3 linked regions of the Yarrowia lipolytica genome follow. The protein of the gene in region 2 purifies or fractionates together with the protein of the main gene of each other region. This does not show direct contact. Links are inferred from orthologs where the notes say so. Each region holds a gene or a part of one and is shown on either strand. Other genes may lie near its edges.

Region 1 (6,883 bases), on a different chromosome or scaffold from region 2:
ACTGCAAGTAAGAGTGTAAAGTAGAACAAAAATAAAAGTGGGAATAATGGAGCTGTTTATATATTTGCAGATTGAGAAATCACGACATTGGTCGTGTGCTGGGGCAGATACAAGTTACACAAACACGTTTCCCGAATATATATAGATATTAGATCTCCCACCTATTGAAGACATTTGGAAAATCAATTTCGATTCCCAACTGTACGTGATTACCTACGCCAACACGTCATGCAGCACGATCAGCCATAAAGCCAAACGCATCAGTTCCAACTAATACGAACATTACGAAGATGAGCCAGGACGTGGAAATGAGAGATAGCGAGGAGGTGGAGACCGTGGAGGAGACCGTGGAGGAGACCGTGGAGGAGACCGTGGACACTCACGAGGCCCAGGAAGAAGAAAACAACGCGCAAATCAAAGAATCCGGAGCGTCCACAGAAACACCAACAACTGCCGCCGACAAGACTCCAAACATCAAGCTGCCTCTAGCAAGAACCAAGCGAATCGTCAACCAGGACGATGACGTGTCGCTCGTGTCTGTGGCCGCCTATGCCGCCATCAACGCGGCCACCCAGGACTTTGTGCGGTACCTGTCGGAACAGGCTGGTCTCATGGCTCGAATGGACCAGCGAAAGACGTTGGCGTACAAGGACGTGGCCGAGGCGATAGCTAAGAACCCCAAGCTCGAGTTTCTGCAGGACATCATCCCCAGAACCATTCCTGCGCGATCACTTCAGTCTCGAGGGGTCCAGGTGCCCAAGGAGCCTACAGGCAACATTTCGCTAACCAACTTCTTCAAGCCCAGCGGCGCCGGGGCATCGGCAGGATCCAATGCCGGCACTGGAACTTCTACGCCGGTGAGAGCAAGCACAGCCACCAGCACCCCTGTTCCTGAGGACTCTGTGGAGGGCTCTGCTGTGGCCATTGAGATTGATTAGGGGTGTAGAGGTGTTCACTCGCACGTAAAAGGATGGAATGGGAACCCGGTATATATACATTAATATTGGCATTTGATATGGGGATGTAGATGGGTGCAAGTGTAGGTGTTTTGGTGCGTTGGGTGTGAACGTGATGGAACCGTGCGAGGTATCAGGGATGTTTTTACGGTACGTACATGTTATTACTCGCGTTTTGCCTGTTCTCACAAGCATCGGTTTTCAAGTGAGTCTTGCTGTCTTCACAATATACGATACTTCTCTTCCAGCCAGTCTTGTTTCTGGTGAAGTAAATGGAGTTTTTTTAGTTGGTCTGATTCCAAGTAAACTATGTAATTACTTAGGCCTATTGGACGTTTGGATGCAGAAAAAAACAAAAAACAGTATGATGTACTTTTAGAGAGGTGCTGAAAAGTACAAGTACTGTAAACGCACGAAGAACATCTTCCTTCCGCGGTTGGTTCAAAGAACTGGAGGAAGCCGTTGCAAGCATCTTCAAAGTCTGCACTTACTCAGTTGGGGTTCATTGACTGAACATAGTGAACCCATTCAGAGTGTGTAATGTGAGGCAACCGATGAGAGCGATGAATTTACGACGATTACCGCCAAGAATCAATTCAAGAAAGATTGGAAATATAACTTTTCTTCTCATTTCGTCATTCTGTTTTTTTCTTTTTTTCTTCCGTCTTTCGTCTTTCGGTCTCACCTCATTGCTCCATCTCCAGCTCTCCAACTGCCTCCTCTAACTTCATTTTATTTTGTCACTCCATTTCCCAGTCAAATTAAGTTGCTTCTAATGTGACAAGCCCAACGTCCTAATCTTGATAGCCGAACATGGATTACCCCCTATGTTTGCAGCCGGATGGACGAGACGATGACGTCATTGAGAAAGACACTGGACTGGAAGACTAAAACTGCGATGCAGACAACATTCACAACCGTTCCAAACAGATAAGTCAACGCTCCTGTCCTCTCGAACGACGTCCCGCTCAGCTCCTCTCGTGTTTTTCCTCCCATGTTGTGTTGTTCCGCAACTTTATTTGGTCAGACAACCTCCCAGTGACCAATGGTTCTTGAGACGCAACTCTGAATCAGCAGGTCATGGGTGATGTCAGGAATGGGACTTTAAGATGGTGGCGATGGCGGTCATGGTGGTAGAGACGGAATCTCGATAATGTGAAGAAAATGAGATGGACGATTGTGCAACTTAGCATCCCCTTATATACTTTTATCAGCGATCCCTCTACCACATTCACATGGTAACAGCGAAACCCAACATCTACACTCCACACACGATAACCACAACACACCAGCATGGCCTTTGCAGATATAGCAGATACCACACGATAACGAGGACACTCGGTAGAATTTCAGCATTTCATACTGACATCCCAGCGGAAATCCAGATCTACATCCTCCATCAGTCAAACTCCGCCCATGCTCTTGTCACCGTCATTTGTCGTCGTGTTATCTACATGGTGCTCGTGTCACCGGCCAGACTCGTGGATCGCACTGGCCTGTCAGTCGTTCGATTATAAATTTATTACACTCTCGTGCATGCACTTTTATATCCCTTAACCAATGACCAGAGTCTCGGCGTCAGCAAAGTCGTACTCGGGAATCTCGAGGTTGAGAGGAGCGGGGCCTCGTCGGATTCGGCCGGAAATGTCGTAATGGGATCCGTGGCAGGGGCAGAACCAGCCGCCAAAGTCTCCAGCCTCACCAATGGGCACACAACCCAGATGGGTGCAGACTCCGATCATGACCAGCCACTCGGGCTTCTGCACTCGCTCGTCGTCAGTCTGGGGGTCTCGCAGGGTAGCAACGTTGACCTCGTTGGCCTCTTCAATCTCTTCGGAGGTTCGGTGTCGGATGAAAATGGGCTTTCCTCGCCACTTGATGATGACGTTCTTACCGAGGGGAATGGCACCGAGCTTGACCTCGACCTTGGCCATGGCCAGAACGTCAGCGGAAGCAGACATGTTGGAAAGGAAGTCCTGGACGGTGGCCTTGGCGCCGGCAGCGGAGAGCATGCCAAACGATCCAATCATGAAGTAGGAGAAGAGACGGTTGGCATCTGTGTTTCGGTCCTTCTTGAGGTAAGGAGTGAAGTCGGGGATCTTGTATGTGGACTTGCCACCAATGGGCTGTGAAGAGACAGATCGGGTCTGAGCAAAGGCCTTTGCGGCCACAAGAGGAGTGTAGGCCTTGGGGGCCTTGACGGCCTGGGCGGCGGTTCGAAGCAGGCTCATTGTTCAGTCGAGGGTGAGTGTCAAGAGAGGTTGAAGTGTGGTGTGTGCTTGACTTGGGACCTTACGTGCAAATGTTAGCTTTTGCAAAAACTCCCTCGCAGCGCATATTTCGCCACTGTGATTGGTCCACCCGAGCCCCTACCCTGAAAACCTTAATTTGTTTGACCATTGGGAGAACTCCAAAAGCCATTGGGAGGTAAGGCCATCTCTAAAGCTGCAGTCGGTGTATGGATTGGCAAAATGACGAGTTGCCAAACAAGGCCAAAAATGCACAAATCTCGACGAGTTTGCTTACTTAATCGAGAATAATCGGCCAATTATCCCATCAAACCGGCCAGATGTCTCCTGTTTGTCGAATTGACCGAATTGAATGCACTCCCTCGGCCGCATTATCGTTTCGCTTTTGGTTGGCTGATTTCACAGTGCATTGCTGCCTGCTTTGTTCCGACCCCATACAAAGCGACAACCTTAATCGCGTCCCAACGGTCGGGGGTTCGATTCTTACGGGGGACTTTGACACAGTACCCAGTACAAGTAAATTGACACAAGAAATATAAATACTACAGGATATAAAACTACATCCTAGCAACCATCATGACAGTCAAAGTCATCGGGAATAGCACCGTATTCGTCACTGCTACTTCCACCGCCAGTCACACTGGAACCGTCATCATCCTCTGAACGATCAAACGGACGATATCCGTCAACCAACCTCATTCTCCAAGCCACACTCCAATGAAATTTGGCACCCATAGGAATGGTCCGTGCCCGACCGTAATTGGGAACTGCAACCCTTGTCCATTTCTCTTCCTCGTTCTCAACCCGGTAAGCGACCGGCATGGTTTCAAGAAACCACCAGAACCACGGTCTCCACCAAGGATCTTCTCCACGACCGTTTTCTCCCTGACGTCGAAAGAGATTTAGAGAGTCGTGCATGGGTGCAATAAGACACTCTTCGGGATCATGGTTGTTTCGAAATTCGTCAATCACTCCCTCCTTAAAGATCACCTTAAACTTGACGCTCTCGGAGAGAATCCACGCCAGAGGAATGTCAGAGAGCAAATGTGGTGACCCTCGAGGTAACCATCCTCCCCCTACGTCACCATGGTCACCTGGGAACCACAACTCCACGAGATCTCCTGATCGCTCCGGTCTATGGCGTGTTTTCTGTGTCCCAATCATATGAGATTGTTCAGAGTGAGCACGGAACATGTGGGACAGTTCTGAACGGCTGCTGCAAGGAAATCGACGTCCTGAAGCCGTGGTTCGAATTGATGACCCACTTGCAAGAACCGGTGTGCTCGCACTGATAGGGACAGGAGAAGTAGGGTGTCTCAGTATGACCATCGATCCTTTGGGTGTATGCTGCCGACTCTCAACAGGGCTGACGCGGACACTGGAAACAATACTGGTCTGTGGGCTTGCCTCAGGAGTCAGTTCAGGGCTCTGACGCTCGGCAAATATGCCGGAAGGACCAAAAAGTGTTGGGTTGTAGCAATGAGGGACAAAGAGGTTCTGTTTAAACTTGGCTCGTCGTTCATCAATGCCGACAGCATGTCGAATGTGGTGAACGATACCCGCCGAAGAGGTGTAGGGGAACGAGCGGTCCAGAATAATGCCACTGCTGTTGATGGAGTCCCACAAACCCATGAAGTAGACGCACACAGAAGGGACACTGAATGTCGACTTGAAAGAGCATGCCAGGTTGGACGTCTTGTCTTCCATAGGCTGACCAGCTGCTTCCCACGTCTTGTAGATTTCCCACGCGCAAGGTACCAGTTCGTTCTGGCCTGGAGACAATAATCCGACTCGGTCCAGCATACCTGCGAGGATTCGAGCGGTGAAGGCACCTCTTGAGAAGCCGTACAGGTATATCCGGTCGCCATGGCAATGGTGTTTCATCAAGAACATGTAGGCGGCAATAATGTGTGCATCAAGGGACCAGGCTATTCCAATGTCGACAATTTTTTCTGCGTATGAGTATGCTGCTGACCAGATGGTTTTGGGCAGGTCGACGGTGATGTGGGTTCCGATTCCGGGCTGGTAATAAACCAATTGGTTGGGTGAGTCCTTTTCGAGCATGCGGAACAGCTTGAGGACGTTGGTTTCGGGACCTGCTCCGAAACTGTTGGACGTGCCATCCAGGCAGAGAATGATGTTTTTCCCCATGCCTGGTCGAAGCCGATTGTTGGTGGGTATCATATATCCTCGGCGTATCCTTCTCCACCCAGTGAAGAGCACTGAAAGTGTTGTTGAAAAGAAGAGGTATTGTTGTAGCTGCCAGACTGTGTTTTGGTATTGTGTGCGGGATGGGTATATCTTGTCAGGTGAGGACAAAAAGGTGGCAGGTGAACGCTGGAGATCACCAGAAACACCAGAAACAGAGGAGAATAAACGTAACGCAGTAAATGAGAGCAAGAACAAACAGACTCATTCTGGCGCGCGACGTGAGGTGGGTCCGGGTTTGTGTCTCCACAAGTGCCGGCTGGTGGTGGAGGTATCAGAAGGGCTGGTGTTCAGTGTATCGATGAGACCGTGGCAAACTTGCTGTTCATGAGATGATCACGTGGAATGCTCAGTGGTATGAGTGGTGCGAATGGTATGCAATGGTATCAATGATGTGATATGGGGAGGTGGCTTGCCTAGTGTATATTGTTGTATGTAGTGTACTGTACATACTGAGATAGTTTTACAAAGTTTGGAGCATCGAGTTGGCTGAATATGATCCGATAGAAAGCATTTTATGGGAAGCCAGAAATGGCGGGAAAAGTCGGAATATAGCCGGAAAAGACTGTTTTGTGTCGAAAAGTGCATTTTAATGATACAACCACGAGCACAGTACTCGTACTTCAAGGGGATCTAATGACCCTCTACTTGACACCCCCCTAACACTCCATAAAAACATATTAACGAATTTAAAAGCTTAACTATACTGGACTATCTCCGTGCATGGACATCAGAGAAGTTGCAAATATTCCCATCCAACATTCAGGAACCCAGAAATGATTGAAATCACTTGCAACGATCGGTGAGTATCTATTTTTCCTGATCTACCAACATGTCTAACACAGTGTGGGCAAGAAGGTGCGGGTCAAGTGTCTACCTGAAGACACTATTGGCGACTTCAAGAAGCTGCTGGCAGCCCAGATCGGAACTGCTCCCGAGAAGATTGTGCTCAAGAAGGGATACCAGACCTTCAAGGACCATATCACTCTGGATGACTACGAGATCCACAACGGATCAAACCTGGAACTGTGAGTACGAGAGGAGACGAAGGGTGAGTGAGAAGCGAGAATGAGCTAACCCAGGTACTACGCCTAAGAGAGGTGCAACAAATACGATGACAAGGACCAGTTATCGAGTTATCGAGACACGTGTGGAGCGACATTGTTAGCAGGTTTCGCGCTTTCGCTTTCCGCCGCACGTGACATGAACATGGATCATAATGTATAGTGTCACTCTAGATCGCAACACATGGGCTTAGTGCTCAGCCGAATGGGGCCTGTGGATCAGCTACAATTGGCCTATGAACAGAAGTGTGTGGTGCCCCATCGAATTGAAGATTCGACGTTCGAAAAATATAATAAATCAAATCCAACTGTATTGTATCTATTCTGCGTGGAACTGGACAGTATTTCAGTTTTTAGCCAATTTCTCGAAAAACAAAACCAGACTCTAGATGTAGAAAACAAGCGA
Region 2 (7,364 bases):
TCATCTCCATCTCTGTTGACATATTATGCTTCCGAGACTACAGTGCGTCGATCTCGAAGGAGTGTGGGTGACGGCAAATTGCATGGAACAAGACAACAAAGAACAGACCATGTAAAGAAGGGTCGTGGAAGAGACCAAGACTGTCCTCGACAGACAGCAGGGTCCTCCAGGTCCTCTTCCGAGGGCCTTCTGTCTCGTAAATGGCGGTCTTTCACCTACAAGTAGCGCTGCCACCCCATCGTCCTCAACCCAATCATTTTTTTTTTTTTTTTTTTTTTTTTTTTTTTTTTGCCAAGTAAAGGGGGGTTGGCAAAACAAACGTTGTTAAATTGGACAGGAGCAGTAGCCGAAAACAAACGCCGAGCAATGACCGCGATACTTATGGTAAATGTCAGACGAGAACAAGAGCGAATGCGCGATACTTGTACAATACTCGCGGTCGTCAGATCAAATGCATTCGTTATTCATTATAATTATATATATGCAACGGGACACGCCCTATTATTGTATACCGGACAACCTGCCAGTTTTGGCGGAATGAGTGGCATTGGCCTACCAATACTGTTGTGTAGCGTGGAGAAACAAACCCCTTTCCTCATGCCTCCTTCCAGAATCCGTCCTGACGCTTCTTCATATCCTCCAAACGCTTGTTCCATCGCTCCACCACCTGCTCGTCCACCTGCTCCTGCTTGGCGAGCGTCAGAGCCCACTGAAGCCGTTTCTTGTCACGCGACGCTCCAGGAAGAGCAACTCGATCAAACAACGAGTCCACGAGCTCCTCACACACCTCAGGACCCACCCGCTCGTGCTGCAGACGTAGCTGAGAGATAACCTCGGAAATGTACCGGAAAGACATGCTGTTGGTGAGCTGTTCTGAAGTGGCAAACCCGGGCACCATGGCCCGCAAGATTCGAGGCGGAATGGGGAACATGAAGTCGTGTCTGAACCATCGGATGAGTCTGTAGGCCAGAGCGGGGTCTTCAACAGACAGCGTCTCCAAGTTGGGTTTGTATGTTTCCACACTGAGAACGTCGTAGATCCACTGGTCCATGTCCACAAGCTGTGAAAATGGCTTCTCTTGTTTGCCAATGTGCTGTAGTAAGAACATGTCCAGATCTCGAATCTTCAGGTACTCACTTGGGATCTGAAGCCGTTCTAGCTGAGCCCGTGGAGGCAGTAGGCTCAAATCGAGGTCAGCGTAGGGGTTGGAAACGACTAACCTGGTCTCTGGCTGATCATCGCTCTCTACCTCCGACTCCTCCTTTTCAGCTTCCAAGAAATGGCCTCTTTGGAACCGCCTCCTTCTGGACTTGATTCTGATAGCCATGAGAGCAATAGTGATCAACTGCAGACGTCCGCTTCGATCCACATCGCCCGTCACAGCCTCCATGGCCTTGGATAGCTCAGTCTGAATACACAGCCAGATGGCTCGCACAGACACTTTGGGTAGGAAGTAGTACTCAACTTTTTCAACAGGAGGCCGAGTAAAAATCGCCAGAGCAAAATGCTTCTCCAGAAGCTGAGACCAATGGGGCAGCTTACTAGCCTCGAAGGCACGTAGCAGGTCCCATAGAAGCACCTCCGACTTGTGATATCGTTTGTGAGGCCAGACAGCGCCCACAGCCTTCATGATTACCGAAGGGTGGCTCGAATATGCATCCAACAGACGTGTAATCAGATCAAACTTGTCTGACTCACGCTTGTGTAGACGGTTGTTAAACAACAGATGCAGGTACTGTTTAACTAAGGGAATCGGAGTGTTCTCTCCAAGCACCTTGGTGATGCTACTGGCCGAATGAATATCTCCCAGGGCCACTGCCTTCTCCAGAAACGTCACCATTGTCTGTTTGACAGTCTCATCTTCAGCCAAATGGGCATATTGTGCAGTATATCTTGCCCAGAGACTTCGTAGAGACTTCTGATCGGTCACTAGAGCCGTTACTCGAGCAGTACACCACACTGGGAGGTCATTCTTCTTCTCCAAAACGTCCTTGACCACCCCCAAAAGTCTGGAGTCAGTGATAGCCATTCGTATCACCCTCTCAATGCATGCATGGATCCATTCCTGATGTTTTTCAGCAGCCTGGTTGAAAAACAAGTTGCGCAAAACCTCCGTGTTACCCAATTGCACGTACTTTTCCAACAGCCTCATCTTCTCATATGGCTTAAGAGCATCTTCCAATATGAACGCGCCACTATTGTACTTGGACAACCGGTAGTTGATCCGGTCGTTGTGGTACAGAAAGTCTTGAAGCTGCTGCTCCGTTGCACAGCTATCCAACCCCAGACAAAAATGCAATCCTCCGTTGATGTTACCTATCCAAAACTCCCGGGCCAGCTGTTGGGCAAACCCGTGCTTATCAAAAGCCCTGCACAGTTCGAACGCCGTCACCACTTGTTTCTGTTTATTTTTAGGCCCTCCGTCGGCAATGACCCGGCCGCCCAGCATAAGAATGTCTCCGAACGAGAACTGGTTGGCTAGAAAGTCGGCCACCAGCTCGAATTCTCCATCGGCCACCATCTGCTGACCCAGCAAAATAGCTGTAGAGAGCGGAAGCTGCGGATCTCCTCCATCGTCCATTGAACACGTTTCCCAGAACTGCAGCAGGCTGGAATGATCTATGAGTCGGTTTGCCGCCACCATTCTCACCTGTTCCTCCAACCCCAGATTCATGTGTTTAATCCGCGCCAAAACACGCAGCTTTTGCATCTGCAGCTTGTGTACCGCGCCCTTGGGGCCCTTCTTTCCCTCCCGTATCGGTTGCTCAATCACTTCCTGAACCAAATGCAAAAAAGTCGGCTCTTCGGCCAAGAGAATGTCCTGAATGAACTGCAGCCCTCCCTGAGGCGCCTGAAGCGCACTGAATGCCCTTCTGGGCACCCGAATGGACACCCGCGGCATCTGTATCGATGGAACCAACGCTTTGTAGTCATACCGGGGCCCCAGACCCACGGTACGAACGGCCACGTTGATCCGTCTCATGTCATATAAACACTTTGATCTGCTGTCGACGAGGCGTTTTTTCACGGTGAAACGGCAAACGAGAAGTGAGTGCGCGTGAAGCAGCAGTTTGAACGTGGCTCGGGGCAGTACTGATTCGCTCAGCGTGTTTTGACCTCCTCCGCGTATTGGCCCTTGATTTTTCACCAGAATAATGTCTGCATGCAAACTATGAATGTCGGGTCACGTGACTGCGGAGGATTGAATCTGAAATTTTTTGGAAAATAAAAAGAAAACGAAAAGAATACGAAAAAGAATACGAAAAAGAGATAAAAACAGAAAAGAAAAAGAAAAAGAAAAAGAATAAAAGATCAAATGAGATGAAATCGGCTTGCACCGTGCTGCTCTGATCGGTCTACTTGTACAAGTAGACCCATTCATCATATATATTTGCCAAGTCCTTGTCAATATGTTTTCTCATTCACTCACTACCAATGACTAAGCATGAGCAAATAATGCACCGATATATCTGCTCAATCGCGCATCGTCTAAAAGTGCACTCTTACTCTCCAGACACTCTGACACGCTCTTGTCAGCTTACAACCCTCGAAATGACCTGGCTCGAAAAACAGGCCACCAGCCACACCAGCCACAGCTGACCGTGCATAGCTGACGGCTGATTGGCCAGTTTGTCCCAAGCCCGCATACTGTCGGCAAGGCGGGCTGAGAATGTTGTGGAAGCGCCCCCTAGGAGCGGGTGGAAGTGGAGATGGAGGTTGGACGGCAGAAGTTGCTCTCAAAGTTGTGCGGGGTTCTGTGTCCACCTTGTTTCTGTGTCACGGAGCTCAAACGAGCCCCATCATCCCCCGCCCGGCGATTACTAAAGACTCGTCCCCTATGGCCCATTCCCAGGTATTGGGCCATGACCAAATGTACTGCACATGTCGAAACCTTAATGTTGTGGTGGACTCCTCCAATCAGCTTGCCGAAAAGTTTGGTTGACTTTGCATTTTGGAAAACCAGACCACTTTCGAAACGGTGATATTTACACTCTCATCAGCACGTCACTACCCCAACATCACAATGGTCTTTGCTTCTGCTTTCCGATCTATCGCCCGAGGCTCCGCCCTCAACTCCGCTGCTCGACTGAGCATTGCCCGACCTACCTTCCAGGCCGTGCGAGCCCAGCCTCTTGCTATCCGAAACTACAGCGCTGCTCACGAGGAGACTTTCGATGAGTTCACCACTCGGTGAGTACAACCACATGGAGGATGCGGTTAATGAAACGACGAGATGGACGAGTGTGGACGTGGGAAACGGCTAGTCATACGTGTGGTACAGTGAACACGTGATGACGGTGTTTGCTGTGGTGTCGTGTTTGCTGTTCGGCTATCAGGCGTCAGCTGGGACGAGATACAGGAATCGGCTCAGGGAGACACAATCACAAACGCAGGGAATTGGGAGGTGGAATGAAGACAAGATGACGGTTTTGTCGTCTTTATCCGAGACATCTGACCCTTGATGATTGACCTATCATTCGAACTACAACGTACAATGACACCTCACAGCTCATCACAGCACTCACCATAAACGGACATGACAGAACACCAAGTGGTACGACCAAGACTCGTTCACACGTCACCAATGAGCTGCTGGCCAGTTAAATTCATCTTACTAACACAGATTCGAGAAGGAGTTCGAGGAGGCTTACGATCTGTTTGAGGTCCAGCGAGTTCTCAACAACTGTTTCGCCTACGATCTGGTCCCCGCACCTTCCGTGATCGAGAAGGCTCTCCAGGCCTGCCGACGAGTCAACGACTTCCCCACCGCCGTCCGAGTGTTCGAGGGTCTTAAATACAAGGTTGACAACAAGTCCCAGTACCAGGCATACCTTGACGCTCTCAAGGACGTTCGAGAGGAGCTCGGCATCACCCTCAAGGAGGACCTTTTCCCCAAGCTTGCTGAATAAACGCACTAAAATAGCTAATTGATCGCATATACAAGACACCGCTTGTTTGGTTTCCCTACAAGTACGATAGTGAGCGGCGCACCTGTTGAGGGACATGCTTGTGGAGAGTTGGTGTAGAGCCGGACCATTCTGCTGTATCGTAGCTGTCACGTCACAAGCTGAATAGATCACATATATACTCCGTTCATATCCCTACAAGTACAGTATTCTAATGACTGTAGCATTGGACATCCCGAAACTCGAGCCGCTCTCAATAACATCGCAACCCTATCATGACTGTCATATCAGGGATCGTGTACTGGATGAGTAAACATGCTCTAATGGAAAAAGAAAGCACCGAGAGAAAATGGCCCGACAAGAGTTGTCAGACAAGTTCCGGAGCAATTATTCGGACTTTGTACAAAAAATGAGTACTGTATTTGACAGCTGCACAATGTATGGGTACGTACTCGTACCCGTACATACTGTACTGTAGATACTAGTGATGCCATAAGAAGTCCTCGTCCAATTGTACGAGTATTAGACACTGCGGCTCATGCCCTTTCTTTGGGTACCCTTCCATTCCTACAGCAAGTCAGCATGCCCCCCTTCCACCCCATCCACATTTAATATACATTCTTTTCTTATACATGCACTGTTTGTTCGCCCTGTGAGTTCCGCCTTACTCAAGATCGGAAAACTCATCGTCCTCCTCCTTGGGCACGTGGTCGTCGTCACTAGCATAGCCTCCGTCCTTCTCAATGAACTCGTCATCCTTGTTCTTCTCCTGCTCCGCAACAGCCTCACAGGCGTCGATCCACTCGGAGTAGACATCGATAGGCGCAGACAGAGCGTTGATGCTGGCCTGGAACGACTGGCCACACACCTTGCACGATAGGCTGCCAATGCCCATTTTCTTGTCCATTGAACACACAACCGAGTCGTTGTGGTTGCAAAACAGGCATGCAAACTGGGTTGCCAGCGTTTGTTTCACCTTCTTGGCGGGGGCAGAGGAAGACTTTCGTTTTCCCTGTGTTAGCAGATGTCAAAAACGAGCGAGAGTAGGTGGAGTGGTCGCGGCACATCTGTTCATGAATCATACCAGACGTTAGATTCGACCTGATGAAAGAAGCATGTTGAGCGGCGAATCGAACAATGTAGCAAAACCAAAAAACCGTGACCAGACCACCATCTCGTGCCTGCTTGAAGCGGCGCCCAGATATTTCAGCGGCTGTGGATAACCCGAACGGAAAAGTCAGATGAGCACCACGATAAATACCAACACGGTTCAATGGGGCCTCAGGGTCAACCTCTCGGTGAGGCCATGTCGTCGTGCTTCACTACAGTCGCTGATGAGAAGCCGATAGTATCGAATCGACTTCATAGGAAGACACTCCTATGGGATGGTCGAACCGAACCAGCCGGAAGTACATCCTCGTTCGTGTCATGTCTCGAACCACCCTTGTAATGCGTCTCATGTATGTCATCGCGTAGAGTGATGTCTGAAGTCCCTCTATTGCCGATGATACCACATTCTGTAGTTGCTCTCAAACTAATCAGTCGTTTGTCCAAACCATATGTTTCTCTCCAGCACTCGTACTCACCATGATGTGTTTTTTTGTGTGTATGATAGAGACGCTCTGCAGAGCTTGGATTCTGCGATATTGTATCGAAACTCAAAGTCACGTGGTGCAACGTTGAGGGCAATCGCAATCGACCAGGAGGTGATCAAGACGGTGAATGAAGGTAGCTGGAGAGTAATGTGAGATATCAGGTGATCCGAAACGACCGTTTAATTTAGTCAGCAGAGTTTTAGATAAAAAAATCCGTTGTACTGTACAGTTTGTAGATTGTTGACATGTAGATTTCCTCACTTAGTCATAGTTGACGTTTACTTGGGACAAAGTTATAGTCAACTGAACTGGTCAAGTAGAGTCAACTATACTTAAACGTTTATTAAGTGAGTTCTTCAAAATTTTACCTCCAAATAGATCACACCGTCCCATTAAAAGACAAACACCGCCACAATACACACACAGAACGCCACCCAGACACTGTCGGCACATTCGTAACATTCGACACATTCGACACATTCCTCTACTCGATATGCCCTCCCAATGGTAGTCGGACTTCAGTCAGAGTAACGTTCAGTTGAACTATAGACGACAGGGAGTAGTGAGAACAGGACCACCATATCTAGACCAATAGGTGTCGGATCGACAAGCGAAAAAGTGGGTTTTATTTAGAACAAGTATATATGCGAATTAATGATCTCACAAATGCTATAATCCCAGTCAAAATCTTTGATAATACCTCAATTGGCTCTGCTCAAATCCACCCGCCAGTTTGAGTTTGAAAATCTGCAGCTCTTAAATTTTTTTAGGATTATGCCAAAATTATTTTGCCTGCGATCCACACCCAGACACCAGACTACACAACCCAACAATGGTCGCCAAATCCGCATCCAAGGGAACC
Region 3 (7,636 bases), on a different chromosome or scaffold from region 2:
CGAGGAGCCGTCTCTGGAGGCACTAGAGGCATTGTGGGAGACGTTGCGTTTGGTGTGTTGCCCAACGTGTCTCCTTCAACCACGTTCTTCCTCACCCTCTTCTACCAGCTCCTGGGTCTGGGGCCCCTTCTGATGAAACCCACGTACGCGCGATTTGTGGGTGCCATCACCTACTGCGCGTACGCGTCATTCTTGTTTGGATGGCATGTCCATGAGAAGGCCATCTTGATGATCATTATTCCCTTCACGTTTGTGGTGCTACGAGACAAGCGGCTGCTGCTGGTGTTCATCCCCCTGACCATCTCCGGCTACATTTCGCTCTTCCCGCTCATCTACACGTCAGCCGAGTTTATGGTCAAGATTCTGTACACGTTTGCGTGGTTCTGTATGTACTTTTTGTGGTTCAACCACCGGCTGGTGTCGGACCACCGCAACAGCATCACCACGCGCGAGTTTCTGCTTGACCGAGCCTCCTTCTTCTACCAGATGGGATTTGTTCCCGTGGTAGCTCTGTCTGTTATTCTGGACGGACGACCCAATATGGAGTTTCTGGGTCTCATGATCATGTCCGTGTACTCTGCCATAGGCGTGTGTGGCAGTTTTGTCGCCTACTCGTGGTTGTACATGTGTGAGCCCGGAATGTGGCAGTAATACCATGTGCTGAGCGAGTAATTGTGCAGCTCGACGTTTTATACAACGCAAATAATCGCACCATACATCGCAGCCCGGCACCTGCGCTCTGCTTATATACACTAATATATTGGATAGATGATTCAATCAAAATTAACTAGACTAATATAACTTATAATGATGGTAATAAATATGTGGGATGCGCGAGCGGTGAGTATTGAAGCAGTTCTCATGGCCAAAACTACTGGTGTGGGCACTCGGTGACACTGAAGTTACCTCTTCCTCGTCCGCCTCGGTCGAGATGCTTCGGTTCCCTCCTCCTGGGCCTTTTTAGCCTGTTTCGACATCTTGTTCTTTGCACCCAGCTCCTTCTTGCGGGCCTTGCGGTCAGCCCGGATCTTGGCGCACGCGTCGCAGTACCAGTCGCCTCGAGGTGGGTGTTTGAGCCCCACGCACTTCATGTGGAACCACTCCGTTTTGCACTTTGGCGAGTCGCACGCAATCATGCGGCCCTGCGAGCCCTTTCGACACGTGCAAAACACGTCTTCCACGGGCGGTGTAGGGGGTGGCAATCGTCTGTTTGCTGTGGATTTCGCCTCTCCAAGACCTTCCTTGTCCTCCTCTTTAGTATCCTCCTCGACCGCCTCTTCAACCACCTCTTTAATAGGGTTTAGAGGCTTTTCCTTGGAAGAGCTCTGGGACCTTGTTCTTCGGCGTTTTGCGGGAGGAGAAGCGACCACATCATCAGCCACAGGTGGGACTTTTGATTGAGAGGGAACCGTTTCATCTTGAGCTTCAGTGTCCACTTCAGGAGTAGTTTCAACCTCGCCTTCTTCGGTGGCCTCCTCTTCTTCCTCATTTTCTTCTTCCTCCTCATTTTCCTCTTCCTCCTTATTTTCCTCTTCCTCCTTATTTTCCTCTTCCTCCTTATTTTCCTCTTCCTCCTCATTTTCCTCTTCCTCCTCGTGTTCCTGCTTATTCTCCCCACCCACACTCTCCTTCTCCTCCACTTCTACCTCTGACCTCCTTCTCTTCCTTCTCTTGGAGGCCTCCTCGTTGACATTGACAATATCCAACGAGCTGAGCTCATGCAAAATGCGGTTGTCGCGCTTGCGGCGTCGAGAATTCTTGCTGTGCTGCTTCTTGTCCTCGTCGTCTGGAGGCGTTGACGGAATCAGAGGAATAGCTTCTTCCGATGCGGTTGTAGCTGACACATCTGCTGGGGGGGGAGAATTCACAGAAAGAGACGCGGGTATGCTGTCTGGCGGAGACTCGGGTAACGCCTCTGACCGTTTCTCCTTCTTCTTTAGCGACTTGCCGGACTTTTTCTTCTTCGGTGACCGCACTTCCTCCGTGATTGGGGTTTCAGTAACCTGTTCAACTGGTTCTTCAACTGGTTCTTCAACTGGTTCTTCAACTGGTTCTTCAACTGGTTCTTCAACTGGCTCCTCGTCAGCCCCAACACCCTCCACAGGCTCATCCACCTCTTGCACACTTCCGTTGGTCTGTTCCGATTGTGCTGCTGCAGTAGCTGTTTCCTCTGCCTCCTCCAACTCCTGTTCCGACGAGGCTTGCAATTCCTTCTCAACATGTCCCCTGTCATCCTCCTCCAACACTCCATTGGTGTCTCCATTCAAAACCTCCGGTGGAAGTTCAAAGGCAACCTGGGGTATAGCTCCTTGTGTATCCTGTCTTTGTGCGCGTACTCCATGTATGTCGTGGTTGTCCCTTGTGTCGCTCGTGTCCGCCTCTCGGACCACCTGGTCTCCATCTTCTCCACTGGCCAAAACGCGTAAAGCTTGGCGGCCCTTAGCCAATTCGCCCTCAACCAAACGGGCCACGTCAGCAGCTTTCACCGCACTATTGTGCTGCAGCATCGTCAGTTGGTTGTAGATGCTCGATATCTCTCGTCGAACCGACAGTGAAGACAGAGGATACGCGTCGGGGTCGGAGGAGCATTTGGACGTCAAATCTTCCAGCTGCCGCGATAACAGATCGGTGCGGTCTCGAAGCGAGTTCAAAAGAGCCAGCGACCGCACGATGGCCGGCGCATTATTGTTCATTTGCCGCAGATACCGTGTTGTGCTGGTTTGAAGGGGGTTCCACAGTCCTGGGATATTATGACAGCTGGATAAACTTTTCCCGAAAATAAGCTTTTGTGGTGACAATGGTAAATGGGGCAGGTGTTCGGGAACACGAGATGGGGCCAAATGAACGGTGCGGCGATGTCGGGGAGAAATGTACGATTCGAACGGTACCAGAAATGTCAAGTTTCGTCATGTTTAAGAAATAGTCTGAAATTATATTTTGTTCTTTTGGGCGACCTGTGCTTGAAAACCAGAAATAGAGTTCAATAAGTCGGCTTAGTAATCGTCCTGAGAACGGGCAATGTTTAAGGAGAGCAACATTGTAATATTGTATATGAAATGTACAATAGTAAATGTCGATGAGGACATGCATGCATGGACTGGGCGGTTGAACCTTTGATTGTACAGATTATGAGCTGTTAATGAACTTTATTGGGGGAGCTGTATAGCACAGGTTAGGACCTGTATAACTCCTCGTTCGTTACAATTCAGATTATGAGTTAGTTTGCTCGACATTGTGTCATTCGGCGTTGCAGTCTCATGTCCCCCTACAATATCCAACGCCTCCAGATCATACCATATTATGGTTTCGAGGCTAAAGTCATATTGGGCAACCGGCGAGCATATGGGTTAGGGTTCTTTTATTATACGCTAATTGTCATTGGTTGGGAGAAAGGCGGTGGAAATTGGCGTGTTTGAGTGGAGTTGAAAAATAGGGTGGAATGGGTGTAGAGGAAGAGGGTGATGGAGTGGGCAATGGCGGCGGTCGATTCGGGGGCGCAAAGAGGGTTTATATAGATAAATTTGTGGGGACACAAAGACCCACGGCCTCCCCATTTGGCCCCGTTTAAACTCCAAAGACCAATGGCAGCACCCTCTTTGCACGACAACACAAGTCCCAAACCACATTTAGAAATCAGCCAATCACAGGTGCGCTTAATCCTGCTCCCGCATTTTTTACCACCCAAGTACGTTAACTCGGCCTGCTACACTCTTCCATCAAAAGGTTTGTCACCACTTTTGTAACCGATATCCAGGGTGAGTATCGGCAATGGGGGCGCTGGGGCGCTGGGGCGCGGACGACGACTGGAGCCATGTCACCGATCAATTGCCAGTGGGTCCAGGTGGTGTTGGCACTGGTGTTGAGGTGGTCATGTTCTGAGTATTACCGCAAGGAGAGACGAGACAAGTGACACGGAGAGGGAGAAAAGGAAAAGAGGACTGGGACGACAAGGCCAGGTGAAACCACGACTCTGGGCATGTGGCGCGATTCCGTGTCGGTGAGGAGGAGAGATGACGACAAGGATCGATCCCAAAGTGCGACACGCCGACCACAATGTGGGACAGCACACCCAACGCAACTGCAGCAGCAACAAGAGCATCGACATTGCGACCGAGAAACTACATTCGCAGCGAAATGCGACGACGGCGAATTGGCGTGTGGCCCGAGAATCGACGTGTGTCACGTCTGTGGGTCTCATTGTCACCCCGGTCTTGCGTCACTTGCCCCGTCCCAACCAATCAAAACCCGCCCATCAACAATCATCACACACCCATACTAACGCAGATGTTCAAAGCAATCCCCCTTCGACAGGCCCTGCTCGGAATCTCCTCCGCCGTGTGTGCCGGTGCCACCACCACCTACTACTACACAACCAAGGCTGAGGCCATGACCGCCGCTGAGCACGGTCTCCACCCAGCGGAGTACCCCTGGCCCCAGAATGGCATGCTCTCCACCTTTGACCACGCCTCTCTGCGACGAGGCTACCAGGTCTACAAGGAGGTCTGCGCCGCCTGCCACTCTCTGGACCGAATCGCCTGGCGAAACCTCGTGGGCGTGACCCACACCACCGATGAGGCCAAGGCTTTCGCTGAGGAGCTCGAGTACGACGACGAGCCCGATGATGAGGGTAACCCCCGAAAGCGACCCGGAAAGCTCGCCGACTACATTCCCGGCCCCTACCCTAACGAGCAGGCTGCCCGAGCCGCCAACCAGGGAGCTCTTCCCCCGGATCTGTCCCTCATTGCCAAGGCCCGACACGGAGGTGCCGACTACATTTTTGCTCTGCTGACCGGCTACCCCGACGAGCCTCCTGCCGGCGTCGTGCTCGCCCCCGGAATGAACTACAACCCCTACTTCCCCGGAGGAGGCATTGGTATGGCCCGAACTCTGTTCGACGGTGTTGTCGAGTACGAGGACGGCACTCCCGCCACCACCTCCCAGATGGCCAAGGATGTCGCTGCCTTCCTGACCTGGGCTGCCGAGCCTGAGCATGACGAGCGAAAGAAGCTTGGTCTCAAGGCCATCATTGTCATTTCCGCCATGCTTGGACTGTCGGTCTACATCAAGAAGTTCAAGTGGTCCCCCATCAAGAACCGAAAGTTTATCTACAACCCCCCCAAGAACTAGATGCATAGTTAATGAACTAAAACAATTGACACGAAGCAGTCCACGCGTGGGCCGACGAGAAAAAAGCCGTCGGCCTGTGAGTGGGCGTATGAGTTTGAGTACGTTGACGAGGAAGTCATTGAGGAGTCACCGAGGTCACCGAGGAAGCCCAAGACTTTCCAGTGAGCTTAGGATGACGACTGAGCTGTAGCTAGGATTGTAGATTGAGATTGAGTTCTCAGTTGCCAGGATTGTAGATTGGTCTGTAGAGGGCGTGACAGGATGTAAAAGAAAGCGAATGATACCTCGGACTGTACGGGTACACCACAGGCAACAAGTGCGCGTGCTGTAGATAGACCAGGACAGTTGGACTGTGTTGTGATCACTGAATAGCACAGTATTCGTTGGAGTGTTCTTGACTCCATCTGCTGCTTTGTAAGCCGCGACTGGCATGGTGTCTTCTGGTGTCCATCTACTGAGGAAGGACTGGAGGAAGGACTGTGAAGCTAAGTACCCTCGTTGAGTCAGCCAGTGACAAGTTGGACTTGGAGGAAGTGGAACCAACCCCGAGGTTGTATAGCACCATTCACAGCTGGGAGCGCCACCTCCTCCGCTGAGACCAATTGAGAGAATCGTCTGGGTCAGTCGAGGGAGTGGGCATCTCGCGGTTTAAATACCAACTCTAACCCCACACAACATGCACATTGTCATGTACAAAAAAAAAAACATTCATCTTAACCCGAAATTTCATTCCCACCTCTTTTCTCCACCCCCTTTTTCTCCACTGATACCACCAAAACCATGGCGACATTCAGGATCAGCAAATACATCTATCTGCACAAAAACGCGCCGACTCCGCAGGGACTGGCTAGCAGCAGCATTGACCGCGACGCGTCCGAATGGACCAAATACCAAAACTCGCCCCTAGAGCTCTCCATTGATACCACGCCCGCCGGGGGCGCGAAAATTTCCCTCAAATACAAAAACACCTCTTTGGAGCATGTTGACACAGACGAGATTGAGGAGCGGTTCGGATCCACCTACGGAAAGAACAACCCGCCGTTTGTGGCCATTTGTAGACCGCCAGGGATTGGTTTCAAGTACTTGGTGAGGAGATTCCATACCATGGTGAGTGTTCCACGAGTCGGTTACGAATGAGCGACGCAAGTGGTTGTCCACATTACAATATTATTGATACCTTCAACGCCAACGCAGCAATACCCTAACATGATACCCTGAGATATCCTTTTCCAGCTAACCAAGACTTATCGCTTTCAAATCAAATTCGCGTACATGGACGAATACGACCGGGCAGTGGAAATGCTATCAAAGGCGGGAGTGTGTATCAAGGGTAGCCCTCCCAAGTCTACCAGGACTGAAGGTGCCACCCTGACCTCCTTCAAAAACTTCAACCCAGAGTCTCAGTGGAACGGAGAAGATGATGATGGCGACCTCACCCAGATTGATCCCTTTCTCCAGTCTCAAACCCTCTCTCCCACCCAACCTCCTGGTCCAGCTACTGAGCCTCCAGTTATGAGCCAGACTTTTGTTGATCCCCCCAGTTCGTCGCAAGCATCTCCCCCATACCAATTCAAGCACTCTCGGTCTGCGAGGCTAGCACCATCGTCGTCGCAGTCCTATCTGCCGGTGAAGCCAACCCCATTGTCGCAGCCAAGGAGATTCTCTGAGACTTCTACGTGGAAACGCACCGTTGACGATATGCCTTCTTTGGGGGCTTCTCCTGTCAGCTCGCCCCCCAACTCTCCGAAAAGAGCCAAGTCGTGGAAGAAGCACTTTACCCCTGCAGATACAGACGTTCGGAGCGGGAATGGGATGGTCAGCAGAGGAACACAGACCGAGGACCCCGAATGGCTGACTGACACGCAAGCTATGGAGAACCACATTGTGGATGTGGTCCAAAATCCTTTGTTCGACGCATATGTTGCACGCATCAAGGAGTTGATGAAAGGCGACCAATTCGAGAAGGACGGATTCTGAGAGAAGGGGGATGTGTATATTAGTTGTAATAAAAGTATTGTGATGTAGTCTTTTGGTTTTTTTCACGATATAGTCCAGTTTAGACTGTTGTCATCTACCTGGTCAAAGGAATAGTGAACAAGTATAGAAATATAGAAATGAGAGGCCGTTTTCTCAATTTCATGAGCTCTAGAAACCCGTCCATATCTTCCAATTGATAGCTTTCAACTACAGTACCGTATGTACTTGGGTTCTGTTAATACCAACTACGATTTCCACTATAGTCGCATCTACCTGTCTCCAATATTGATATAGCAATTGATAGAAAAGAGCCACCAGTCGGTTCTATAGAGGCTTTCTTATTCGATTGGCATTGTTTGTACGACTAATAGTCATTATATTATCCTTCTCTGAATCGGCGATGGTGTGGCCTTCTACATAGCATGTAGTATATACAAGAGTGTAGAGTAACATACAATTCATTAATTAAATGAAAAACAAGTCTTATCATACCATTGGTAGACAGTACTAGACAAGAGATGACTTTGCATGG

Evidence for each region.
Region 1: the proteins of YALI1_E12730g (region 2) and YALI1_A03322g purify together in Saccharomyces cerevisiae (affinity purification with mass spectrometry; 4 studies listed by BioGRID, with this or other methods). This does not show direct contact. The link is inferred for Yarrowia lipolytica from reciprocal best matches to the Saccharomyces cerevisiae genes COX6 and RIP1.
Region 3: the proteins of YALI1_E12730g (region 2) and YALI1_A17570g purify together in Saccharomyces cerevisiae (affinity purification with mass spectrometry; 3 studies listed by BioGRID, with this or other methods). This does not show direct contact. The link is inferred for Yarrowia lipolytica from reciprocal best matches to the Saccharomyces cerevisiae genes COX6 and CYT1.

What each region holds. Positions count from the first base shown.
Region 1 is NC_090770.1:328,554-335,436, reverse strand, and holds YALI1_A03322g (uncharacterized protein), read right to left. Parts: upstream 3,188-6,883; coding exon 2,510-3,187; downstream 1-2,509. Other genes in the region: YALI1_A03351g (uncharacterized protein), read left to right, coding at 291-938; YALI1_A03300g (uncharacterized protein), read right to left, coding at 3,770-5,389; YALI1_A03289g (uncharacterized protein), read left to right, coding at 6,190-6,215, 6,259-6,441, 6,496-6,508. UniProt on the Saccharomyces cerevisiae protein: Component of the ubiquinol-cytochrome c oxidoreductase, a multisubunit transmembrane complex that is part of the mitochondrial electron transport chain which drives oxidative phosphorylation.
Region 2 is NC_090774.1:1,270,296-1,277,659, reverse strand, and holds YALI1_E12730g (uncharacterized protein), read left to right. Parts: upstream 1-4,024; coding exon 4,025-4,191; intron 4,192-4,624; coding exon 4,625-4,910; downstream 4,911-7,364. Other genes in the region: YALI1_E12747g (uncharacterized protein), read right to left, coding at 596-2,983; YALI1_E12711g (uncharacterized protein), read right to left, coding at 5,572-5,919, 6,494-6,496; YALI1_E12703g (uncharacterized protein), read left to right, coding at 7,335-7,364. UniProt on the Saccharomyces cerevisiae protein: Component of the cytochrome c oxidase, the last enzyme in the mitochondrial electron transport chain which drives oxidative phosphorylation.
Region 3 is NC_090770.1:1,753,403-1,761,038, reverse strand, and holds YALI1_A17570g (uncharacterized protein), read left to right. Parts: upstream 1-4,053; coding exon 4,054-5,127; downstream 5,128-7,636. Other genes in the region: YALI1_A17622g (uncharacterized protein), read left to right, coding at 1-651; YALI1_A17583g (uncharacterized protein), read right to left, coding at 903-2,693; YALI1_A17551g (uncharacterized protein), read left to right, coding at 5,908-6,264; YALI1_A17546g (uncharacterized protein), read left to right, coding at 6,400-7,104. UniProt on the Saccharomyces cerevisiae protein: Component of the ubiquinol-cytochrome c oxidoreductase, a multisubunit transmembrane complex that is part of the mitochondrial electron transport chain which drives oxidative phosphorylation.